Elephas maximus indicus: one gene and its partner. Each later gene encodes a partner of the first gene's protein in a complex. Links are inferred from orthologs where the notes say so. Each region holds a gene or a part of one and is shown on either strand. Other genes may lie near its edges. The genes, in order: NR5A2 and NR0B2.

What was found.
Region 2: the proteins of NR5A2 (region 1) and NR0B2 are in contact, whole or in part, in a crystal structure (PDB 1YUC), measured with the Homo sapiens proteins. The link is inferred for Elephas maximus indicus from reciprocal best matches to the Homo sapiens genes NR5A2 and NR0B2. Residues at the interface, in NP_995582.1 of Homo sapiens: Phe354, Val357, Arg361, Phe366, Val371, Asp372, Gln374, Met375, Leu378, Gln379, Asn529, Asn530, Leu531, Glu534, Met535; in NP_068804.1 of Homo sapiens: Arg17, Pro18, Ala19, Ile20, Leu21, Tyr22, Leu24, Leu25, Ser26, Ser27, Ser28.

What each region holds. Positions count from the first base shown.
Region 1 is NC_064836.1:8,247,395-8,251,298, forward strand, and holds the start of NR5A2 (nuclear receptor subfamily 5 group A member 2), read left to right. Parts: upstream 1-1,135; 5' UTR 1,136-1,341; coding exon of another isoform or gene 1,342-1,510; coding exon 1,511-1,592; intron 1,593-1,602; exon of another isoform or gene 1,603-1,882; intron 1,883-1,889; exon of another isoform or gene 1,890-3,904. Other genes in the region: zinc finger CCCH domain-containing protein 18-like, read right to left, coding at 776-1,135, 1,342-1,512. UniProt on the Homo sapiens protein: Orphan nuclear receptor that binds DNA as a monomer to the 5'-TCAAGGCCA-3' sequence and controls expression of target genes: regulates key biological processes, such as early embryonic development, cholesterol and bile acid synthesis pathways, as well as liver and pancreas morphogenesis.
Region 2 is NC_064821.1:67,348,080-67,351,781, reverse strand, and holds NR0B2 (nuclear receptor subfamily 0 group B member 2), read left to right. Parts: upstream 1-854; 5' UTR 855-881; coding exon 882-1,422; intron 1,423-2,421; coding exon 2,422-2,663; 3' UTR 2,664-2,971; downstream 2,972-3,702. UniProt on the Homo sapiens protein: Transcriptional regulator that acts as a negative regulator of receptor-dependent signaling pathways. Specifically inhibits transactivation of the nuclear receptor with which it interacts.

The DNA of each region.
Region 1 (3,904 bases):
GCCTCACGTGGATCCCCACCAAAGAGACTGTATCCTATACAGAGCACAGTTCACTAAACCTGGGACGTCTGATACCACAATAATCTTGGGCTCCAGTTTGTAAGTTTATACGTGAGAGAAAACTGGGGGAGTGAGGAAACAGGTAGTTATCTCTGTCAAATGATGAACTCTTGACTCAGGGCCTTAAGACAGGGTTGTCCCCTCGGGCGGCCTGGGCGGTCGGTCCCTCCAGGACTACCAGGTCCCGCCGCGGGGCCTCTCCGACGACTGAAAGCAGAGGGGCAATGAAGCCCGGGGACCCTTGACAGAGGATCAGCTCTGCGTTTGAGAAGAGCGGTCCACAAAAATTCAAAATCCATTTCCTCCTTTCTGTTGTTTAAATGGGCGTTTATTTCCCTCTCCAGCCCCTCACCGACACACACACGGGGACACCCACACACGCCCCGTCACTTCTCCTCGCTTCCCCTCAGCTCGCGGAAATCACCGCCCTAGCTGCTCAGCCTTCGCCGCCGCAATCAGACAGAGGTCGCTTCTCACTAGCTGTACGCCCCAGCAGCATTTACACCCCCCGCCCCCAGACCACGGCGTGGTGGGAGGGGGTTAAGGCGGGTGAAGAGGTTGGGGCAGGAGAGGGGACCCGAGCATGCGCCTCATCCTCATTGGCTGGCGGCTGGTGTCCGACCGGAGTCCAGAACCCACGTCCCAGTTCAGTGTTTTCACCCCACATCTCGCCCACCCCCCACTGCAGCCTCCCCCTGCCCCCGGCCCTACTTACCTCCCTTCTCCTGCTCGTCTTCCCCCTTTCCTTCCCAGCACCATCACCATCAGGGGCTGGAAAGGGCTGCTCTCGGACGGCGCAAGAAGAGTAAACGCGGCAGGAGAGGGAGGCTGGAACTTCACAACTCCACACTTGCCATAGCGAGCGAGAGGAAGACAGAAAGGGACAGGGGGAAGGGGCGGAGAGGCCAGGAGAGGAGAGAGAGGAGAAGTGAAGAGAGAGGAAGAGAGAGAGAGACCCCTGCTGATCCTGAGCCAGAGGGCGGGTGGAGGGAGGGGAAGGAGTCGCCCGAGCTGTCCGGGAGCTGCGGCAGCGGCACCGGCCGCAGCGGTAGCAGCAGCCCCGCGGCTGCCTCCGCTGCCCGCCGGGAGCTCAGCCGCACACGGGTCCGCGCCCCGGGCAGCTGCGCCCTCGCTGCGGCCACCACCGCCTCCGCACTTGCAGAGCCGAGCCAGGGCACCCACACGCCGTCTTCTTCACCTGGTCTCGGAGCCCCGATCTCCTCCTTGCGGCTCGGGGGCAGTTCCGGAGCTGCAAGACAGGACCGGGCCTGTGGTCCTGACGGACAGCCTGGGAGGAGGCGGAGGAGCGCACGGCAAGCGGGTAGGTGAGCGGGCGCCCCGGTCGCCCCCTTCCTTCTTTCCGCCGGAGTTGAATCTCTGCTGCCCGTGTCCAGGTGCTGGGCTTCCGGACGGACACGGACCCCCTATTCCCGCCCGCGGCCGCCTTGTCATGCTGCCCAAAGTGGAGACGGAAGCCCTGGGACTGGCTCGATCGCATGGGGAACAGGGACAGATGCCGGAAAACATGCAAGGTAAGGAGGCTCCACGCAGCGCTCCGGCTCCCGGCGCTTCCCCTCCCCCGGGCTCGCCTTGTGGGCTTCAACCTCCCTCCAGGCGCATGGCCCATCTGGGTGCTCGGTGGACTGCTGGGCGGCGCGCAGACGTCAGGCCCCCTCCCCAGATGCGGGCATAAAAGTTCATGGCTTTTGAACAATGCGGAGCGGAGGTTTTCCAAGCAATGCCTAATTAGCCGCTTCTAATAATCAAGAAAAAGAGAGGCTTCGAACTCTGGCAACCGGAGATGGGCAGCTTCAGGCTAAAGGTACTTTGGAATAATGAGATCATGCTAAGAAATGGAATGTCAGGTTCTCGGTCCTTGGAATCGGTGGAAACTTTAACCAATGCTTTTGTGCGGAGGGAGAGCACCCTGCCTAGGACAGTCAACTAAAGAAAGAGAAGGGAAGGGGACCCCCAGGAGGCTTGTTTTAGAATGGACCTGGCCACTCCCAAAAAGCCCGAGTGGACACCGGTGCGAATTGGGGCAACTTTAAAATTACAGGCAGAGCTGAAAGGAACCAAAGTCCCCTTCACGGGGATTGCCCACTGACTTGGAGGTGGGGCGCAACGGTTAGCTTAATGCCCCTTCTTCAATCCAAGAGCTGAGATATGGAAATCCCATTTGCTTTGCAGCTCTTGATTGCTAACAAGAAAACAAATAAATCCCTCTGGCTGCATTTTCACTCCAATCCAAATAGGAACTCCTGTCTGGCTTGTATTAAGCCCTTCAAAAGTTTATCGCAGTTGCCCTGGGCCAGGGAGGGAACAATGCTAGGAAAAGTCACCGGCGCTCTTCCATCCTCGCCCCTTCCAGCACGCAGGATGTGCGGGCAGGCGGGCCTGTGATCCCGGAACGCTTCCTGCCATCCCCTTGCGCGAACTTGAAAGGGCCGGGAGGTGTTGAGAGCAGAGTTCAGGGCTGGTGCACGCGGCGGTGCCGGGTAGGCGGCGCGTTTCGGGCGCTTGGGCCTGGGGGCCTGACGTCGCCCTGGCAAAGGGAATGATGGGAGGGGGCGCGTCGTGATCCCCGGGTCTCTCTAAACACCGTAGAGAGTCGTGGAAGTCTCCGTGGGCTGAGCCCAGGAAACTAACTTCTGTGTCTCCCGGCAGGCTCCTGGGGGAAGCCGGTTGGCCCAAAGAGGCTTTCCTGCTTGAAATCTTGGTCCGCAAGGTGGGAGCGCGGGGAAGTGGCGCGAGGAAGCCGGGCCGGGGTCCCTCCGCCACGCGCCCTGGAGAGGGTCTAATCCTTTGGGTGGCTGGGTGCGGTCGGAACGGAAATTTTCTGCTTCTCGTTCCGGCGCGGACTCTGGAAAAGCAGCTCAGGGAGACACTAGAGCAAGAAGTAGGGGAGGCAGAAATAAGTTTATTTGAGGGGGTAGGGAGGATACAATCGTAACATTTTCTTTGTGAAGTTCAAAACGGGCGCTCTTGACCCGACCTGCGCCTCAGAGCAGAGCCTTAGCTTTTCCCAGTGACCAGGGCGGAGGAGTCGCCGGCCGCTCTCAGCCCCGGGTTCCAACACAGCGCATGGAGAGCTTGGACACACCTTCCTCCTGGACTAGCGGCCTCCCCGTAGGGAGGAGGCCCCGGGGAGTGGGACCCCATTCCTAACCCTCAGAGCCTGACTGTGGCCTGGGGACGCGTCCGTGGTCCTACCGGTGGGCGCGCATCCTAGAAAGAGAGCTGGATACTGGGTCCCGCGACAGCGCGCAGCGTCCTACTTAAGGGGAACTTCTCTGCGCGCCGCTCTGCGGTTCTCGTTTTCCAATGCCCCGCCGCCTCTTCTCTTCTCTCAAGACCAAGACTAGGGAAAGCGCGGGTACTTCTTTGCCTCGACGGATTTAGTTCTCCAAATGCCTAACTTGGCTACACGAGGGCACTTGGAAACCCTGAAAGATATCCCTGCCTCGCACAGAGGCATGTTTCCCCTCTCGGCCTCTGTTTTTGGATTTTCCAAGAGGGTTCCCATCCCTAGCCCCGACCTTTCTAATGCCGGATCGCCGGGGTGTGCGTTGAGCCCCTCTGTTAGCAGTTGCCTCTCTAGGCCGCTTAGGTGCGAAGTCAGAGTTCATTTTGTTGGGGGTCAGGAGAAGTAGAAAAGAACACCCTTGGTAAAGCCCACTTATTTTCCATCCCTAAAACACGCCTCTAGGCAATAGTCAAACGTTACAGGAAAAAAGGGGCTATAGGCAAACTTCTTGTACCCAGTCTTCCTCAAATCTCCAGGTTTCCAAACCCGAGAGCTGGCCTCTTAGGGCGGGACCCCAGGTTGGCACCGCCGGGAGAA
Region 2 (3,702 bases), on another chromosome or scaffold:
TAGGCCACGCCCCAGGGAAACTCCCTTTACAGTGGATCAGGGAGGTGACCTGAGTAAGGGTGGTGTTACAATTCTGCCCTAATCCTCTTAACATCAAATTACAACCACAAAATGGAGGACAACCACACAATACTGGGAATCATGGCCTGACCAAGTTGACACAAATTTTTTGGGGGACACAATTCAATCCATGACAGGCCCCCAGAGCTGGAGTCAGGGAAGGGGCCTCTAGATAGTGGGCACAGTCCTCCAGCCTCCCAGGGTCCTGGCTCCCTCCCCCACTGCCTGTTACTTACCAACAACAGGCTCAGGGCCCCAAGGTTAGACAAACAAGCCAGCGATAAGGCATTTCCAGGTTGGGCTTGCGTTCAAGGCTTGCGCAGCTCTGGGCTGGCTGCCTGGCTTAGTGAGAGCCCTGGTCTTGCGTGCACACAAGAGCAGGGCACCAGTAGGGACACCTGCCATGGTCACCTGCTGATTGCGCACCTGAGGCCTTGGTGCCCTGGTACAGCCTGGGTTAATGACCCTGTTTATCCGCTTGAGTCGCCTGATAAGGGGCAGTGGGGTCAGCTGGCAGGCGGCCTTGTGCCCTGCACCGGCCCTTTCATTGACAGAAGTGATATCAGTGCCACATGGAGCACCCACTGTGCCCCTCCCCTGCCACTTCCCTGTCAGTCCTGCCAGGGTCAGTGTGTGTGTGTGTGTGTGTGTGTGTGTGTGTGTGTGTGTGTGTGTGTGTGTGTGTGTTTTTCAATGAACATGACTCCAGGAGTCAAGGTTGTCTGGGCATTCCCCCCTCCCGCCCTCGGGGATATAAATAGCACCCACAGCTCAGAGCAGAGGGCGGGAGAGCTAGGAAGAAGGAGAAACAGATCCCAACCATGAGCTCCAGCCAGCCAGCGGCCTGCCCATGCCAGGGTGCTGCCGGCCGCCCAGCCATCCTGCATGCACTCCTGAGCCCTAGCCTCAGGGCCAGGCCCTTCGTCCCCCCAACTCATAGCCGCTGCCTGTGCCAGCAGCACAAGCCTGTCCGCCTGTGTACTCCCCACCGTACCTGCCAAGAGGCCTTGGATGTTCTGGGCAAGACGGTGGCCTTCCTTAAGAACCTGCCATCCTTCTGCCAGCTGCCCCCCCAGGATCAGCGGCGGCTGCTGCGGGACTGCTGGGGTCCACTCTTCCTGCTTGGGCTGGCCCAAGACACTGTGACCTTCGAGGTGGCCGAGGTCCCAGTGGCCAGCATACTCAAGAAGATCCTGCTGGAGGAGCCTGGTAGCAGTGGCAGCAGCAGTCAGCTTCCTGACAGGCCCCAGCCCTCCCTGGCTGCAGTACAGTGGCTTCAGTGCTGCCTGGAGTCCTTCTGGAGCCTGGAGCTGGGCCCCAAAGAGTATGCCTACCTGAAAAAGACCATCCTCTTCAACCCTGGTGAGCCTCCGGACACTCTTGGAGGGATGGGTCAAGGCTTGGGGTAGGGGGAGGTGGATAAGGCTCATCCAGGGAAGGCACCTTCTAAGGGCTTGACATCCTTTATCTCATTGGGTCCATATTATCATTAAATACTCATCTCAGTGAAGAGGCCCACAGAGGCTAGGTGACTTGTTGAAGGTCATGCAGCCAGGTAGGGGCAAGACAGGGATCAGGAACTCAGGTCTATTCGCTCCAGAGACTGGCCCTTGTTACTCTGTACCCAAAATGTTTCCCTACCCTTAGGGAAGGCAGGAATGGGGTGAGAACGGGCAGATGCAGCTGTGTTTCGATCCCATCTCCAGGGGCAGACCGTGTAGTAAGCTTCTCTGAAGGTAGAACTCCGTGGGTTCAGAAAAACCACATAGAAGGGAGGAACAAAGGGCGTGTTCGGGAGAGGGAGGGAGTCTTAGTGACACTCACCAGGACAGCACCAGTTGGAGATACAAGCAAAAAGTTGGAGATAGGGCTCTTTTAATCTGGAGAGCATCTGAGATGAGAGTTCCCCACCAAAGGGCCTCACAGAATGCTTACTTACAGTAATTCATTATAATAATAGTAGTGAATGCTCATATTATACTTACTGTATGTTAGGCCCTATTCTAGGGGTTTTACATACACTAGCTCATTTAAACCTCAAAATAAGCCTATGAACTAGGTACTATTACTTCCATTTTACAGATAGGGAAAACTGAGGCACAGAGATGAGGTAACTTGCTTAAGGTCACATAGCTTATAATTGACAGCACTGGGATTCAAACCCAAGCAGCTCTTAACCATTACTTTATACTGCCCCTCTATACATAGATGGATGAATAAAGTGAGCAACGAATAGGAGGAGGTCATGACTGGGCCTCAAAGGCTGAGCAAAGGAGGCAGAGAGGTGTCTGCTGGCAGCCTTGCCCTTTGATGGCTGGGAGTGGGGTGCTCACCAGTCCTTTTCACCCTGTCTGCCCACAGATGTGCCAGGCCTCCTCGCCCCCTCCCACATTGGGTACCTACAGCAGGAGGCTCACCAGGCGCTGTGTGAGGTCCTGGAGGCCTGGTGGCCAATAGGCCAAGGCCGATTGGCCCGGATCCTCCTCATGGCCTCCACCCTCAAGTCCATCCCACCTGGCCTGCTTGGGGACCTCTTTTTTCGCCCTGTCATTGGAGACGTCGACATGGCTGGCCTTCTAGAGGACATGCTTTTGCTGAGCTGACTTGCTCCGGCCCAGGCAGAGATCAGGTGTAGGCTGGGCAGAGGTTAGCAGCACTGACTCAGCCTGGCTGACCCCAGGAGTCACCCAGTGCTTCTGAAGGGGGCAAGCCTATATAGACAGCAAGCCACGCCTAGTCTAGCCAGATGGGCTATGGGACCTTCACTCAGCTCCACCCTGCCTTGGCTTCTTTGGTTTGGACACAGTGCTCCAGCTGTCTGGCTAGCCCTTGGTGGTCCCCAGGGCCTCTGGCCCAAGACTACTCTCCTGTCTGGGATGAGAATGGACACTTAGGCTGCTCGTTGGGCCAAAAGTCTACTGCCTTGTACAGAACTCACTTAAGTTATTGGTTTTTGTAATAAAAGGTATGACACCCTCAGAGTCTGATACTGTAGTTTGTGCGTGTGGAAGGGACCATCTCACCTCCAGGGTCCATCCTGCCCCTTTCAGAGGGAGTCCGGGGGGAAGGAGCCATAACAGGTACAGGAGCTGGGCCTTGGGGAATTGAGGTATTAATTTTTCAGGATGGCTTGATGATTTCATTTTCTGGGAAGATTTATTTTGCATCTGGGTCTGAACTCAGGGGACAGGATTAGTTCAAAACCCCCGTACCTCCTTGGTTTTATCCTTGGAGCAGGGGCTTCTCCCCCATCCCCAAACCCCCACTGACTCCTTCTCTGGTCCTTACCCCCTACAGGTTCCCACTCCCCTCACTAAGAGTCTGATCATAGCCAATCAGGCAAATGAAGCAGCCCATTCCCAAGTTGAAACAGACAAGGCCTCTGGAACTGCTATAGTAGAATAATTCACTTTCCCCATTCCTGCAGTTAATGAACGAGAGTGGTTCATGCTCCCCCAATGGGAGGAGGTAAGCCTTGTACCTGCTTGGAAGACAAGATAGACAGAGATTTAGCTGGTCCACAGTGGTATAGTCATGTTGTTGTTGTTAGGTGCTGTCGAGTTGGTTCTGACTCATAGTGACCAGGCCCCATCCCCCCTCACCACCACAGTTTGGATTCTTCTCACGGGGGCCAAGTTAATT